3 linked regions of the Canis lupus familiaris genome follow. The protein of the gene in region 3 purifies or fractionates together with the protein of the main gene of each other region. This does not show direct contact. Links are inferred from orthologs where the notes say so. Each region holds a gene or a part of one and is shown on either strand. Other genes may lie near its edges.

Region 1 (5,604 bases), on a different chromosome or scaffold from region 3:
TCAGGGACGGGGCAGAGAACGGCAGCGGCTTCACAGCAGCTCCAGGGGCCATCCCCACCGGATCTCCTGCACACGAGCATGGACCCCGCCCTGACACACCTGTGCTCTGACAACAGACCCTGGCTCCAGCAGGTCTGGCCTGGGAGGAATGCCCCGAAGGACTTCGCCCTGAGGAGCAGAGCACTGTCAATAATGAGGGACTGAGTAACCCTGTGCTGTCCAGAGGGCTACCCAAGCACCATGCTGATGAGCCAGGGGATCCCAGGAGGAATGGACAGCAACTTTTGTGTTAATATGTATTAACATATTAGCATGATCAGAACAAAGAGAAGCCGGCATACCAAACGGGTGATTTATTTTTTTTAAATACAAGCTTAGGAGGAAGCTAAGTTAAAAACAAAAATCAATCAAGTGAATGATTTAAAGAGATGTAGGAAATAAAGGTTTACAGGATGAAAGTCTCGAAGGTCATAGGCAAACCTCTAAAGTTTAGGAAGAATGAAGTGATCTGATGCAAAGGCCATCTCGTAGGAGGGACTCACAGTCAGTGACGACACACAAGGAGGACCAAAATTCAGGATATCATGCTCCACCCCTCGTCCTGGACTCTCCCAGAATTCATCTGTTCCATCGACACATGTTTACTGAGCACCTACTATGTGACATGCCTATGCTGGGCTCTAGGGGTATCATAGTGACCGAGAAGAAACACTCTCCGACCTCGTGGAGCTGACATTCTGTGGAACGGATGGATGGCAATCAGATAAACAAGTGTTGGTCAGATAGTGAGCATGCTAAGAAGGAAATTAAGCAGGGCAGGATGGAATGTGCAGGGCCAGGCTGCTGTTCTAGAAAGAGGTCATTTGAGTAGAGAGAGGAAGGAAGCAAGAGAGAGAATTCTGTCCATTTCTGGGGAATGGAGATCCAGGGAAAAGCGAAGATCAGGCACAAAGGCCCATGGTGGGAATGTACTTGTTATGTTCAGGAGCGAGAAGGAGACCAGCTTGCCTGGAGGGGGCTGGAGAGCCGGAGCAGCTGCCCAAGGGAGCCTCGTCACCGAAGGCCCTAGAGGCCACGGTTAGGACTCAGGCTTTCACTCGGGCAGATTGGGTTGTTGCTGGAGGATTATACACAGAGGAATGTTAAGGAGGGGCTGAGGTTTCTAAGACCCCGCTGACAGCTGTGCGGAAAATGAGCACAGCTGGTCAGCAGATGCAGGCAGAGGGCTCAGGAGGCCAAGTGAGAGGAAGTGGAGATGGCGAGAGGGGACAGGTCAGGACCTCTTTTGTAAGAAGAATTGGTGGAGCTTTGAGAAAGCTGGAGGGGAGGGAAACAGGAATCCAAGATAGCCACTTCCTCAGCTGTCGAAGACGGTGGAAGGAACGGGTTTGAGGAGAACACAAGTGTGTTCCATCTACACTGACCACGTCAACAGGAAAAAGTTGATGGCACCCCTCCCTTGGGAAATTACAAGCTGAGGAAGACTCAGAACCCATGGCACGGTGGCTCGGAGAGACGGGAACAGATGCATGAGATGACGGCTGGTTGGGCTAGAGTAGAGGTGAGCACGGACAGGCCACCCCATGTAGGAAGGAGGACACCTGGGCACCAGGCCAGGGTCATGGCAACGTGGGTCTCCTTTTCCCTCTTCTCCCGCCAACCTCCCGGGTCCCTCCTGGCTGAGACAAGCCAACCCTGGTGGCCCCCAATCCTGTCCTGTGGACAGTGCCTGTGCCAGGCGGCTCTGTTATCCTCATTGATGAAAAGTCTCCAGGCCAGAGAGGGCTACTCCAAAGCCTCCTCCCCTGGGCCAGGCTTGGGGACACTCAGCACTGCTCAGGAGTAGCCAAGTGTCTTTCTTCCCCACCCTCCTGGCTCTTGACTCTGGCCTGCTCCCAGGACAGGAGGAGACAGGCAGAAGGCCCACTCCCAGTCTGGTGTGTCTGGAATACCTTCCCCGGGGAATGGGAGGGAAACCATAGGGTCTCTCTGTCAAGCCCAGGGTAGGGCTGAGTAGCCAGAGGTGTGTGACTCAGTGTCATCATGGAGTCAAGCACAGCAAGTGACAATATCCCTAACAATAACAGCTCACTTTTGCAGAGCGCTCATTCCATGACAGCCATCGTGCAAAGTGCTTGCTGTGCTCGTGATTTCTCACAGGCCGCCCATGAGGTCGGTGCTGCCAATATCCAATATCATCAGCTCCCTCAGAAGGGAAACTCAGGAGCCGCCTGGGTGGCTCAGTCGGTTAACCATCTGCCTTCGGCTCAGATCATGATCCCAGGATCCTGAGCTGGAGCCCCACTTTGGGCTCTCTGCTCAGCAAGGATCCTGCTTCTCCCTCACCCTCTGTCTGCCACTCCCCCTGCTTGTGCTCTTTCTCCATCAAATAAATACATAAAATCTTTAAAAAGAAAAAAAAAAAGAAGGGAATCTGAGGGACGTCACCACTGACAATTGGTAGGACTAGGATTTGAATCAGGTCTGTTTGCCACATGCTTGTCGTCAGCTGCATATGCAGCTAAGTGCATCACACGTGTGGCTGCCCTAACCTTGTGAGGAAGGCCCTATCACTATCCTCACCTTATAGTCCTGGGGCACATGGTCAGGTGGGGGGTGATAGCCAGGGCTCACAGTGGCACCTAGTTGCCTAGCTCCACTGCTTCCCTGGAGGGTTGGAGGGGGAGTCACCCAAAACGGTGGTCACCCACCATACCACCTGATGTCAATTACAGGAAGAACTGTCAGTTACAGGAAGACTCATCAACAGGAAAGAATCATCTGTTACAGAAAGTATTTAGAACACTTGATCACCCAAAATGGAGGCCATCTACCTCTTTGGAGGAAAAGATGGAAGGAAGAGTAAGGGCACCATGTCACGGAGTCGTGCTTCCACCCTGGCCTTCTCCATAGGCCTTGGCCACCAGACAGCAAGGCATGTCCATCAGCTTGCTGCCCAGTTTCCTCTTGTTACTGTGAGCAATGCCTGGAGTTATGCCAGCAGAGGCCACAGGTGCTCCTTCTAGGTGGCTATCAGGGATTTCAGTCCCCAGTGGGTCTCCTGTCAGAGACCTTCAGGACCCTTCCCACCAGCAATTGAGATTGCCGGGGATTATAACTTTTTATTTTGAAATACTTATAGAATCATGGGAAGTTGCAAAAATAGAACTTTTTATTTTGAAATAATTATAGGTTCACAGGAAATCGCATGGGTTGAATAGAGAGGTCCAGTTTGCCCATATCTTATGCAATTATGGTAGCGTATCAAAACGAGGAGTGTGGCATTAGTACAGTGTGTGTGTACAGTTCCGAGTCCTTTTATCACATGTCTAGATGTATGTGACGATGACTGCAATCACGATCCAGAATTATTCCCTTACCACAAGGCTCTCCCTTGTAGTCAAGCCCACTTCCCTTTGACCCTGGCAACCTGTAATCTGTTTTCCATCTCTATCATTTTGTCATTTCAGGAATGTTACATAAAAGAAATCATATGGTTTATGACGTTTTGAGGTTGACTCTTTTTCTTACTCGGCGGAATGCCCGTCAGAATCATCCGAGTTGTGTGTGTCACTATTGTGCTGTGCCATTGCCACTCCATGGTATGGATGGAACACAGTTTAACGGTTCACCTCCTAAGGGACGTGCTGGTTCTTGCCAGTTTTTGGCTATTACAAATAAAGCTGCTGTGAGCAATTGTGTAAAGGTTTTTGTGTTGACATAAGTTTTCAGTGTGTGTGGGGGTGGATATACGCCCTGGAATGCAATTGCTGAGTTGTACGGTAGGTGTATTTTGTTCGTTTTTAGAGAAACTCACAAACTATGTTCCAGAGTGGCTGTAACCATTTTACGTTCCTGCCAGCAATGTATGACTGATCCAGTTTCACTCTATCATCACAAGCATGTTGTCTTGTCATTAGCTTTTATTTTGGCTGTTCTGATAGCTATGTAGTGATATCTTATCATAGTCTCGATTTGCATTTCACTGCTGGCTAGTGATGTTGAACATCTCTTTGGGTGTTTATTAGCCATCTGTGTATCCCCTTCTATAAAATGTCTCTTCATGACTTTTGCCCATTTTCTAATTGCCCATACAATCCAGTTACTTAAAGTGCACAGTCCAGTGGTTTTATGTATATTCAGAGTTGTGCAGCCATCCCCACAACCAATTTTAAAATGTTTTATTTTAAGTAAACTCCACACCACATGTGGAGCTCAAACTCATAACTTGAAGATCAAGAGTCTCATGTTCTACTGACTGAGGCACCCAGGCACCCCAACCACAATCAATTTTAGAACATTTCATCACCCCCAAAATAAACCCATACTCATTAGCAGTCACCTGCCATTTCCTCCCAGTACCCCCACCCTAGCTTTAGGCAACCATTAAATCTACTTTGTATCTCTATAGATTTTCCTTTTCTAGACATTTCATATAAATGGAATGATATAATATGTGGTCTGTTGTGATCAGCTTCTTTCACTTAATGTTTCCACGTTCACTCGTGTGGCAGCATCTATCAGTATTTTATTTCCTTTTATTGCTAAATATTTTATTGTGTGGATATACCATATTTTGTTTATCCATTCATCACTTGAAGGACACCTGGGCTGTTCCTACTTTTTGGCTTTTATGAATAATGTCACTGTGAACATTTGTGTTCAAATTTCTGGGTGGATATGTTTTTTCTCTCGGGTGTGTATACCTAGGAGTGGAGTGAAGAGTTACATGGTAATTATACATTTAGCCTTCTGAGGAATTGTTTTGAGGTTGCTTTCCAAAGTGGCTGGACAATTTTACATTCCTACCAGCAACATATAAAAGATTCAGTTACTGCACATCCTTTCTGGCATTTGATATTGCCACTATTTTTTTTCTATTTTTTTTATTTTAGCTGTCTAATAATAATAGGTGTGTGGTAGTATTACCTCATTGTGCTCTTAATTTGCATTTCTTTAAGGCTATGATTGTTGAACATCTTTTTATTATTTTATTTTATTTTATTATTATTAGTGTCAGGGGTACAATTCAGTGATTTATCAGTTGCATGCAACACCCATCGTGAACATCTTTTTATATGATTATTTGCTATCCATATATATCATCTTCAGTGAAATATCTCATGTCTTTTGCCCACTGTGAAAATTAATGAAGGGGACCCTCACGAAAATGGAGCAGGGAGGCTAGAAGGGGAGGCTAAAAGGGGGAGCCACACCAATTCAATGTCAATTACAGAAAGAATGGTTAACTACAGACCCCAAAAGAAGAATTCTCAACAGGAAAGAATCCTCAATTGCAGACCCCAACAGGAGAAAAAAATGCACATTGCATCTCCTACAAGAAATTAACTATCCCTGGAACTCAGCCAATGAGAAACTGTTATCACCCTGGACTTGTGCTTTTCTCTAGTGGACTTTTATTCCAAACAACCTCTTTTTTTAAATTTTTTTTTAAATTTTTATTTATTTATGATAGTCACACAGAGAGAAAGAGAGAGAGGCAGAGACACAGGCAGAGGGAGAAGCAGGCTCCATGCACCAGGAGCCCGATGTGGGATTCGATCCCGGGTCTCCAGGATCGCGCCCTGGGCCAAAGGCAGGCGC
Region 2 (5,641 bases), on a different chromosome or scaffold from region 3:
GGACGGCAGGGGTGAGGATGGGGGTGGAGAGGGATGTTTAGGAGAAATGATGCAGCAAGTTGTTGCCTTTATCCTTGCAAAAGATGAGGGTGAGCAAAAATGTGAATGGACATATAGATTCGGTGGTGAAAAATGGAGGGAATTTTTCTGACAGAGTAAGGCACCTGCTGAAAGTGACAGAGAGGATGGTAGGGTAAGGAGCCATCATAGAGAGCAAGCCGAGCACTGCACAGCTTCTGAGCAGCACTGAGCAACTGGCTGAGGTTGAGGCTAGCGTTTTGGCGGCACCAAGCAAATGCTTGCACAATGTGGAACACTTGGGTGCAGGCCTGGGCAAGGTGGGCAGTTCATCCAGAGCTGAGATTGCCAGTCTGTGCACCAGGACAACAGAAAAAATGAGTGGTTGAAGTGGTTGAAGTGATGGGTCCCAGAAGCCAAGATGGGTGGAGAGAAGTGACAGCTGATGCAAAGCGAAGAAATGGGAGATGTGGGTTGGAGGCCTCACTAAGGTTAAAGAAGGTGGGGAAAGCCTGGAGGAGGCAGCTGCAGTCAGCGTGGAGGTCTGAAACCAGCCTTCGAGCAGAAGAGCAGTTCAGGATGCTGAGGGAATGGGGGCAGCGATGCCTGTGACTTAGGGTCAATGAGAATGAGAAGGCTAAAGACATGAGAGCTGGGTGTCTGCACATCATCTCACCGTCTTAAGCCTTGGGGGAGTATCCCAATGCCCCCTGAGCTAGACAGAGCCTAACCTGGACCATAGGTAGCCAGTCCACAAACATTCCAGTCACCTAGGGCCCGGTTCCCTGCCTCAAACCTCAGCCTGCTTCTTGCCCAGCCTCTCCCCTTTTATGCGGCCTCCTCCCTCATCCCCCCCCCCCCCCACACACACACACACATACTGCCTGGGCTCCTGCCTTCAAAATAGATGAACTCTCCACCCCAGCTCCCTACCCCACATTACCCCCACCCACCTCATCCTGAGTGCTACCCACGCTTGAGAGCTTTAGCTACCTTGCCCCACCACCAGCCTGCACTTCATCAATCAGTAATTTTTAACCCCTGGGGAATCTCAGATGTAGCGAGAAATAATTAAAGCTACAGACCCTCTTTTTAGAAAAATGTGTAAACAACCAATTTCACAACCCAATTCAGGGGCTTCTCAGATCTTTGACACTGATATCAAGCCATGGGAGACCTGAGTTTGGTGCTTTGGACAGTGTGATCTGCATTGTTGGCTGCCACCCTCCTCCCTCCTGCAGGATCTGCCTTAGAGTTAGGTGAGTCACCCTAAATCTGGAATGCACCTTGATCCTCCTCTCTGTTGGCCACCACTCTCATTTGCTATCCCTTTCCTCAACAACCCAATGGCTCCCTGCCAGATAGACCCCTGCCAGGAGTGTCTCTTCACTTCAATCCATCCCTCACAGCAGACCCTCCCATCTCTCCTCTCCCGGAGCAGATACCTGATAAGGGGCATCTGAATAAGAGCTTCAGTGTGTCCTGAAAGCTGCTCAGCCTCTGCTCCAAGGTCTTCCTTTGCTCCTCCTCACTTTGCAAGGCCTCCTTTGTCTTCTCCCTCTCAGACTGGCAGGCCTGTAACTGCTCTTGGGTGGCCTGGCAAACCCTCTGTTCCTCCTGTAGTGCTTCCTGACTCTGGGCTAGTTCCCTCCTGGACCCCTGTAGATCCTCTTCCCTCTTCCCCAACTGGGTTATCTTCAGGTGGAGCTGCTGCCTTAGGCTGCTGTTAGTGGTTTCCAGAACCCTGTTGGTCTGCTGGAGCTGCTGAGAAACCTGCAGATCTGTTCGGCCATAATGAGAGATTTGAAGAACATCTTCTTCAGCTATGCCCTGGTACCCTGACTCTTCAGCGTCAGTCCTTTTTCTGCTTCTTTTTTTTTTTTTAAAGATTTATTTATTTATTTATTCATGATAGACACAGAGATTGAGAGAGAGGCAGAGACACAGGAGGAGGGAGAAGCAGGCTCCACGCCGGGAGCCCGAGGCAGGACTCGATCCCAGGACTCCAGGATCGCGCCCTGGGCCAAAGGCAGGCACCAAACCGCTGAGTAACCCAGGGATCCCCGTTTTTCTGCTTCTTGCAAATTTTTGCATAACAGGCTGAAATGTAAGATCTGACTGCCTAAAGCTTAAGGAGGTACTGGGTTAGGTAAGGACAATTTAGGAAGACATGGCACTCTAAAACAGACCTGGCTGGAAACCAGACAAAAAGCTAAGCATGTAGTGGTAGTGACTGGGCCCTGCCCAGAGGAAGGGCAGCTGTTGGGGAGAGTAGGGGAGAATATTGCTCAGGGTACATGGGCAGTGGGGGACAGTCATACTCACAGTGCACTCCCAGGCAGATGGTGGCCACCCCCAACAGCAGGCAGGTGAGGAGCAGGCCAAGAAAGAGGTACTGCATACAGGCTGCACGGCCTTAGGGAGACAGTGGGATGAAGGGCAGAGAGCCCCAGGAAAGTTTGTAGGCTGCGGGGCTGGGTGAGTGGGGATATTCACGGGAAAGAGTATCCCTCAGAGGACTGGTGCTGGTATGGTGGGGTTCGTCGGGTCGTGAGTTTCCGCAGGTAGCGGAAGGAAGGTGTTCCAGAATAAGGGCTGGAATCGTTACTGGTAAGGATTGAGGAGCGATACCTGGTGGGATGGGAACAAATCCCAGACGGGGACAGAGGACAGGGGGTATGTGCACGGGGACACCGTAAAGGGGGAGGAGGGAAGATCTGGGTCAACCTGGGGGAATGATACACACGGGTATGGGGGTGAAGGGGCGGGGAGGGGGCCTCGGGGCTGCCCGCCGCGCCCAGAGCGCTGCTCCCCGAGCTCACTCCCGGGAGCCGACCCGCGCACCGCCGGGCCCGGCACCGGCCCAGGCCAGCCCCCCCGCCGCGCGACCCTCGCCGCCCCCCTGCGCTGCCCCGCCCTGCAGCCGGGGGCGCGCGCCGGCGGGGAGGGCCCGCGACTCACCCGCGAGGAGCCGCCCGGCAGCCGGTGACGTCACGGAGCCCCAGGACGCAGTTGGCTGCTCTGCCTGGAGCCCTGCGGACCCGCGGCGACTTGAGTTCGAAGTCGGGAAGCCCCGGGAAATTCCCCTTCTTCCCACCAGCTCCCCCTCTCCCCTTCCCCGGCGCCCCCCCCCCCCCCCCGCCCCGTCCCCAGTCCGGTCCCGGACGCCTTCGGCGACGTCTGTGATGCTCGGGGACACCCTTAGCACTCTCCGGAGTCCCGCATCTCCCCCAGGACTCCTGTCTCTCCTGGGTCTTACTGCATCCGCTCTCCCGGGACCCCCTCCTTTCCCTCCTGGGTCTCCCCTTAGGTTTCTTTCAGCACTGCCCGCATCCGCGTTTCCCAACCGTCTCCCCAGAAGTGCTCTCATCCCTCTCCCCTACCCTTTCTCTGTCCCGTGACTTCCCGTTTCCCATCCGAATTCATCTCCTCACAGGGGCTGCCCCAATCTCTCCCCGCAGCCCCTGTCACCCCTTTGGGATCTCCACCTTGGCCCTGGGCTCTTTATTCTTCCCTGGCTCCCATTTATCCACGGGTCATTCTTCTCTCTCCTAAGCACCCCCTCCTTTCCCAGGGATATTGTGCCGCCCCCCCACCCCCACCCCAAGGATACCTGGACTCCCAGCTCAAGACACAGACACACGCTCACACAGCCCGCCCGGTCACACACACATTCTCTGGGCTCTCCGTACCTGCTTTGTCTCCTACTCCAGAAGAAGCCAAACTCAAGGGCCCACCTGAGACTGAGGACACTTGTACATTCTCATAGGTAAGCTCCTCATCCTCATCAGTCCCTGGGTCTGAAGAGAGAAATGGTGGAGGTGAGGGTGGGGTCATGAGGGAGCCTGGGGATGCGGAATCAAGGAGATGCCTTGCCCACCCTTACCCTGTCCTAACTGGCTGGAGATGCTTTTCTTCAGGGGAGCCTTCACGAACCGCAGGTCTGCATAGGTGATGGCCTCAGCCATTGCCCTGAGCAACCCGGCTCCCACCCGTCTACCCTTTCTTCCACCAGCCCCAGAGCTTCCCACTCTCCCCTCTGTCCCTTCACACTCGGAGGCTCTGTCTTCCTTCTGTGACTGCACAGCTTAGTGCTTTACCCTCTGACTTCCAGTTGCAAAAGAGGAAGATGTCAGCAAGTGTCAGACACAGATGGGTTCAATGAAGCATATGGCATCCTTGAGCCTCTGCCAGAGGGACAGGGGATGGGAAACTGAAGTCCAGAACATGGGGTTGCAGCATGGAGGTGTCACTGGATCACTATTCAGGCCCATCCCTGTGTCCTGCCTGTGCTCCCCCTTCATGCACCCCAGACCCGCTTTGGCAGCGCTGGGCTCTAAATACTTGTCCTCCTGGTCATCTACCCTGATTTGCCCTATGCTGCTCTGTCCATGGGCTTATCTATGTGTTGTCAGAGCTCTTTGGTGCCTGACTAAACCCAGAGGATCTCCCCAGTCATTGCTGCAGAGTGGAGCTCCAGCCTCCACATCATATTGGAGGGGTCCTAGTGTGGAGCCCTTGCTCCTCATCATCCTGGGGTTCCCAGCAGGTATGGGTTCCCAGAAAGGGGCCCTCGATTTGGTGGAGCTCATTTCCCTATCAGTTTGGAGGCTGGTGGGCGGGGGGAGACCCTCCCACTCCTGCTGTTGTCCTGCAGATGCTAAGGATCTCACACATAGGGAGGCTCTCACTCCAAAGCCCTTCCTGAGAATGTGGCAGGCCTTTGGAGGATGCAGAGGAGCTAGGACCACACAGTTTCTCTTCTACAAACTCCCCTAGATTCCCTCTTCACAGCCTTTCCCTGGCCTTGTCCACCCTTGTTCCCTACCCATCACACCGTTGGCCAGTCAGTCCCTTCCTCATCCCATCCTACCCCATGCTGGACTCAGGGCATCCTGTGTCCCAACATCTGAGCTAGATGCAGTGAGCTGAGTCCAGGAGGCACAGGCTTGGGGATAGGCCCGGGCTGGGGGTAAGGATGAGGGACAGCCCCTAGCTCATGCACCTTTGGAAAAGCCTGCAGCACTGACCCCTTATGCACCCTTGTGGGGACCCGGGGGGCAGGTGAACAAAGGAGTTGGGTGGGGATGAGAGGGCAGCAGCTGCTTAGACAGAATGGAGGCAAGGAAACAACAGGGCTGGGTGCTGAGCACACAGACACTGGATTTGAGGCTTTGATATTTTCTTGGTCTGGATTTGGTTGTTTTCTTTTTTTTACTTTCCTAGTAAAGTTCTTTCCTTATAAAGCCTTAACATTGTGCCCTTACACCCAGCCCCGAGGGCAAAGGGGGTATTTGTGGGAGAAGAGTCAGGGCTAGGAGGCCCTCGTGGCTGGTGAAGGCCTGGCTGACAGAAGGGAGGAGGAGGGAGGACTGTTGAGCAGTGGTTCAGAGGTGCTCCCTAACATTCTCTTACCAAGCTATGACTCCAGAAGGGCTTGCTTCCACCGGTGGAAAGAGGCTGAGACAAGACATGATACGTAGGTGGGAAAAAAACCCCCTTGCTGTGGGTGGCATCTGCCCCCGCAGAACCTCTTCACACATTGCACCTGTGGGGAGGAAGAAGGAAGGAGAAAGAGGTCCTCACCACATGCTAGCAGCTGTGGTGTAGGACTAGTGGTGTG
Region 3 (5,541 bases):
CAGGGGTCACTTACTTGGAAGAGGTGCGGGATGCCTTGGCATGGGCGTTCTTCATGGCTAGGGGGTAGGTGATGTTCCCATACTCTGACTCCCGGCCCTTCTGGGACTGTGGGCAGAAGTGTGGTGGGAGGGCAGTGGTCCCAGCAGGACCAGGAGACACCCACGGCCCCCCACCGCTCTGCTGAGCCCTGCTCTGCACATACCTGCATGACCTCCAGCTTCTTCTTCGTGGTTTCAATGAACTGGGCGATGGCCACATAGATGAACTTGTACTGTGCCTCCGTTTGCACCATGCCCGAGCGCTGCGCCCGCACCATCTGGATCGTCTTCTGGATGTCGATGTCACAGTCCAACCCTGGGCAGGCATGACAGTTGGACCTCAGGCCCAGGCAGAGGAGGACACTGAGGGGCCGCTCACCCAACACCCCCAACACCTGCATCGCCCATGGGTCACCCTCACCTTTGGTGGAGATGCTCTCCATGAGCATGTCGATGACAATGATGGTTCCTGTGCGGCCGATGCCTGCACTGGGGAGGGAAGGGGGCACCATCAGAGGCCCCGGCCATGCCTCACCAGGAAGGGAGAGCCCCAGCGTTCAACTCCAGCACGGTGGCAGGATGAAACTGAGGCTCCGGCGAGATGAGGTAACGTGCCCGGGGTCACTGGGCAGCCTAACCAGAGGCAGAAGCCTGCCGGACCCTGAGTTCCGGGCACTTGCACTCAACACTTCAGCCAAGGGATTTGTGGGTGGGCCCAGTTCTCCCAGGGCCGCCCCGCCTGGCCTTCCTTCTTTCCAGCATCTCACCCTTCCACTTCCTGCTCTGCCTCCTCATTGCTGGCTGGGGGCTGCTCTTCAGCCCACCAGGGTCCCTCCCCCCACCCACTCTGGCACTCTGGGCCTCCCCTGACCCTCTCCCGCACCCTTGGCTTGAATGAGGCTTCCCCGCCACTGCACACCCCAGCCCCACCTCGCACTCTTCAAAAGTTTTATTTAGATCTTCTTTCGAGAGGACTTTGTTTCCCGTTTTTTTCAGACCCTGAAGACCAGGAAAGGGCAGCCCTTGAGGCAGCAGGGCAGAAAGGTCACTGGGGTCAGGAGATGATGCGGAGATGCTGTGTGAAGTGTGAGGTCTCCCTTCTTTCCCCACCCTCCACCAGCATCCTAGAGCAAACAGATCCCAGGAAACTCAGGATCCCTCAGAGACCCCAGTTCTGTCTGCTTCGCGGGGCCGCCAGGCTAGTGGCCTGAGTTGCACTAATTTCAAACCCAGATTGTCAAAAATAACCCCCCCTTACCCACTTCCTTCCTGTAACATCTAAATAAAGGCCATGGGGATTTCAAGAAGTGGAAGGGGAGTAACAGGAGGGTCGTACTTAGCAATGGGCCGGCCCCCAGAGGCAGAGTCCCTGAGATGACATGTGAGGGGCACCCCCAGATTCAGCCCACCCAGCCCTGCCCCAGGGCAAAAGTTGCTGGTGGGAAGAAGGAAGACATGTGAGGCCCCAGCCTGGGGTCACTTGAAGGGAGTAGGAAGGGAAGCAGATGAAGCAGGCTCCCATTTCCCCATTCCCAGCCTAATGGGAGTTATTAAACCAGCAACGGCTCCCATTTCTTGAGGGATTACTACGTTCCAGACACAGGGACGGGGGCTTATTGAATCCTCACATCAACCACAGGAGAGCCTGCAGTGACAAATGAGGAATCTAAGGGTCAGAGAAGTGAAGTAATTTGTCTGAGATCACACACACAGCCAGTGAGTAGAAGAGCCAGAATTTTAATCTACGGTGTCTGTCCAGGAACCTGCACCCACGGCCCCCCACGGACCCAGGCCAGGTCAGTGAGGACTCTGCCCCTCACTCCTCCTTGCTGACCGCACCCCCCTTGCTGCCTAGCAGGAACAGGGTCTCCTGATCATGAACACGAGGTCCTCCAGTGACCTAGAGATACATGTGCCCCTTTGGAAGACATCACCCATCCCCACACAACCTGGAGGCCAAGCTGGGGTCACTAGCTGGGAAGGGGGAGAAAGAGGAAGGCTAAGCATCCCTGGGGCTATGGATAGAAAAAAGAAAAAATGGAGAGCCACACCGACCCCAGATAGAAGGTGGCAGGGCCCAAGAAGAAATACAGGCTGAGGAAGCCCGTGAGAGACAACAGGAGCGACCAGAGCCTAGGTGTGTGGTGAGCGTCAGTGCACTTTCCCGCTGGCCAGCTGGCAAGTCGCTGGGCCTATTTCCTCATGGGTATTTGGCAGGGTTGGGTGAGATGGTACGTACAGGGAAGTCTCTAAAGAAGCCACCCCTCAGGCACAGGATCAATCAGTGGGGTTAGCTCAAGCTACGCTTCCGCCTTGGATCTGGAACCATCAAGGAGCCCGGATGAGGCCATGAGCAGGCGGAGGCATTTAATGCGTTAACATGTAAATTAGTGCTTCCAGGGCACTGAGTTAGCAGTATTTACTAGCCAGCTACTACTTTTATTTTTATTGAAAAAAAATAAAAGTTGTTTTGTTTTGTTTTTTGTTTTTTGTTTTTTATCTTGCCTCGGTGGCAAGAGACACTTTAAGGAAGAAAGCCCATTTAAAACCTGGGTCTGGGGATCCCTGGGTGGCGCAGCGGTTTGGCGCCTGCCTTTGGCCCAGGGCGCGATCCTGGAGACTCGGGATCGAATCCCACGTCGGGCTCCCGGTGCATGGAGCCTGCTTCTCCCTCTGCCTATGTCTCTGCCTCTCTCTCTCTCTCTCTCTCTCTCTCTCTCTCTGACTATCATAAAATATAAATAAATAATAAATAAATAAAATAAAATCTGGGTCTGGGGGTGCCTGGGTGGCTCAGTCAGTTGAGCATCTGACTTCAGCTCAGGTCCTGATCTCAGGACCTCTCTTTTATTTTTATTACTACTACTCACATCATTATTGTTCTCACCTGCAATGCACAATGATGGGGCCTGCATGAGGCAGACTTTCCTGCCGTTGGTTGATCTGGTCCAGGAAGCTGAGGACACCTCCAGGCTCACTGGGAACCCCATGGTCAGGCCAGCTCAGGTACTGGTAGTGCCAGATCTCCCGAACCAGGTCCTCCTGGGCAGAGCGCATAGGGCCAGTGCCCTCTGTTCCCACACATCTCCCCATCCCACCCAACCAGACAAAACAACAGATCCAAGGAAGGGCCCCAGGAGTGAGGCAGGAGTGGAGAATACTCACATTTTCCAGTGGGGAGACCTGTAAAGTACGGAGTTTGTACTCTGCAGCGTCATGTTCCCTGCAGTTGGTAACTACGTAGGGTCCATACGCACGCTGAGTGCCCACCTCTGGCCAATACGGGACACACTTGTTCTGCAAAGGGAGGGTGGCAGTGAGAAATGAGGCACAGAATGTATGGGGGCATGTTCCAGGCCCCTTTTGAGATCCTGAGTCCCTGGTGCTGGCCCAGTTAACATTTGCTGGATGAATGGAGATGCTGGCCAAGAGTCAGAGGGGGGATCTGGTCCTGCTGGCCACCAGCAGGTGGTGAGGCCTGACTGAGCCACTTGGCCTTACAATTCATTCAGTAAACACCGGCTGGGGCACACAACGTATCTGAAGTTGTACAGACCATGCTGGAGTCCCAAACATAACTACAAAGCAATCTGGGCCTCTATGTCTCTATGTATTCACAGAGAGACAGCAGAGCAGGGAAAACAGAGCCACTCAGGGGCACAGGGTACAGAGGGAGAGGGTAACCCTCCCTCTAGATTATGGAGGAAATCAGAGGTGGCTTCACAGAGGAGGGAGCATTTGAGCAGGGTCTTCAAAAATGAGGAGTCTGTCCAGCAGAGATAGTACAGAGAGAGGAAGTCCTTTCCTAGCAGAAAGCAAGCTTGTGCCAAGGCGTGAGAACCTGAGGCAGGGCGGAACGTTGTAGGGAAGCCACCATGCCTTGAGTGCCAGGTCTTAGAGTGTGACTTTATCCGGAAGACAACTGGGAGCCACCGAAAAATTCCCAGGGAGCCAGGGAGCATCTTGATGCAGTGCATGCTCTAAGAGGGACCCCTCTGACTTCTGTGCAGACATGTGGGAGGAGGGGGCAGCCCACAGGGAGGGAGGCCAGCTGGGCAGTGGGGTGAGGGTGAGGGTGAGGGGCAGACTCCAGAGAGAGTTATGAGGCAGAGAGGACAGGAGGCAGGTTGCTTCTGGCAAGGGACACTTTAAGGAAGAAAGCCCATTTAAAACCTGGGTCTAGGGATCCCTGGGTGGCGCAGCGGTTTGGCGCCTGCCTTTGGCCCAGGGCGCGATCCTGGGGACCCGGGATCGAATCCCACGTCAGGCTCCCGGTGCATGGAGCCTGCTTCTCCCTCTGCCTGTGACTCTGCCTCTCTCTCTCTCTCTCTCTCTCTCTCTCTCTCTCTCTGTGATTATCATAAATAAATAAAAATTTAAAAAAAAAAAAAAGGGATCCCTGGGTGGCGCAGTGGTTTGGCGCCTGCCTTTGGCCCAGGGCACGATCCTGGAGATCCAGGATCGAATCCCACGTCGGGCTCCCAGTGCATGGAGCCTGCTTCTCCCTCTGCCTGTGTCTCTGCCTCTCTCTCTCTGTGACTATCATAAATAATAAATAAAAAAAATAAAAAAATAAAAAAAAATAAAAAAAATAAAACCTGGGTCTGGGGGTGCCTGTGTGGCTCAGTCAGTTGAGCGTCTGACTTCAGCTCAGGTCCTGATCTCAGGATCCTGGGATGGAGCCCCATATCACATGGGGTTCCCTGCTCAGTGGGGTATCTGTTTCTCCCTCTCCTTCTGCACTCCCCCCCCTACACACACACACACACACACTCATGTGCTTTTTCTCTCTCTAATGAATAAATGAAATCTTAAAAAAATAAAAATAGGGATGCCTGGGTGACTCAGCGGTTAAGCGTCTGCCTTCCACTCAGGGCCTGATCCCAGGGTCCTGGGATCGAGTCCCACATCTGGCTCCCCACAGAGAGCCTGCTGCTCCCTCTGCCTGTGTCTCTGCCTCTCTCTGTGTATCTCTAATGAATAAATAAATAAAATATTTTTTAAAATAAAAATAAACAAATAAAACCTGAGTCTGGTGGTCAGGAGAGCCCCAGGTTGGAAGAAGGGATCTGGGAGATAGTATATCCCCAAGAGTGTCTCTGTGCCTCAGTTTCCCAACAAGGGTTGGACCTTGCCCTCTGAGGTTCCTTCCTGCCCTGGTATCTGGAGTTTCTCTGGTTTAATGGTGGTGGAGAGCAAGCACTGGGGAGGGGTTGGAGGTGGGGACCAGGGGACAGTATAGGACTCGGCCTTACCCGGCCTTTCTCCACCTCCCGGGTGGTCATGACGATGACGCGGGTGTTCTCCTGCCATGCCATTTGCCAGAAGTCATTGACTGTGGCCTCCAGGCAGCCCTGGCTGGCGATGTAGGTCTTAGTGTTCTCATCGGGGCCTAACAGCTCGTTCTGGAAGCAAGTGTAGAGAGCTGCACCCCAGGACTGTGAGTCCCTGCACCCTCCCCCCACTCACCTGCTAACTGGCCGGCTTCAGCCTTGCCTACAT

The links. Proteins that work in one complex are often made in the same cells at the same time.
Region 1: the proteins of PTPN6 (region 3) and CD22 purify together in Homo sapiens (affinity purification with western blotting; 5 studies listed by BioGRID and IntAct, with this or other methods). This does not show direct contact. The link is inferred for Canis lupus familiaris from reciprocal best matches to the Homo sapiens genes PTPN6 and CD22.
Region 2: the proteins of PTPN6 (region 3) and CD72 purify together in Homo sapiens (affinity purification with western blotting; 3 studies listed by BioGRID). This does not show direct contact. The link is inferred for Canis lupus familiaris from reciprocal best matches to the Homo sapiens genes PTPN6 and CD72.

What each region holds. Positions count from the first base shown.
Region 1 is NC_049222.1:118,124,772-118,130,375, reverse strand, and holds the start of CD22 (B-cell receptor CD22), read left to right. Parts: upstream 1-1,347; 5' UTR 1,348-1,525; coding exon 1,526-1,561; intron 1,562-5,604. UniProt on the Homo sapiens protein: Most highly expressed siglec (sialic acid-binding immunoglobulin-like lectin) on B-cells that plays a role in various aspects of B-cell biology including differentiation, antigen presentation, and trafficking to bone marrow.
Region 2 is NC_049232.1:52,469,884-52,475,524, forward strand, and holds the start of CD72 (B-cell differentiation antigen CD72), read right to left. Parts: upstream 4,137-5,641; 5' UTR 3,987-4,136; coding exon 3,905-3,986; intron 3,819-3,904; coding exon 3,711-3,818; intron 3,052-3,710; coding exon 2,980-3,051; intron 2,434-2,979; coding exon 2,344-2,433; intron 1,800-2,343; coding exon 1,464-1,799; intron 1-1,463. UniProt on the Homo sapiens protein: Co-receptor of B cell receptor (BCR) that plays both positive and negative roles on B-cell functions. Recognizes the Sm/ribonucleoprotein (RNP) self-antigen ligand, and coligation of CD72 and BCR inhibits BCR signaling.
Region 3 is NC_049248.1:8,004,088-8,009,628, reverse strand, and holds part of PTPN6 (tyrosine-protein phosphatase non-receptor type 6), read right to left. Parts: intron 5,445-5,541; coding exon 5,295-5,444; intron 3,337-5,294; coding exon 3,205-3,336; intron 3,082-3,204; coding exon 2,927-3,081; intron 529-2,926; coding exon 461-528; intron 356-460; coding exon 204-355; intron 107-203; coding exon 15-106; intron 1-14. UniProt on the Homo sapiens protein: Tyrosine phosphatase enzyme that plays important roles in controlling immune signaling pathways and fundamental physiological processes such as hematopoiesis.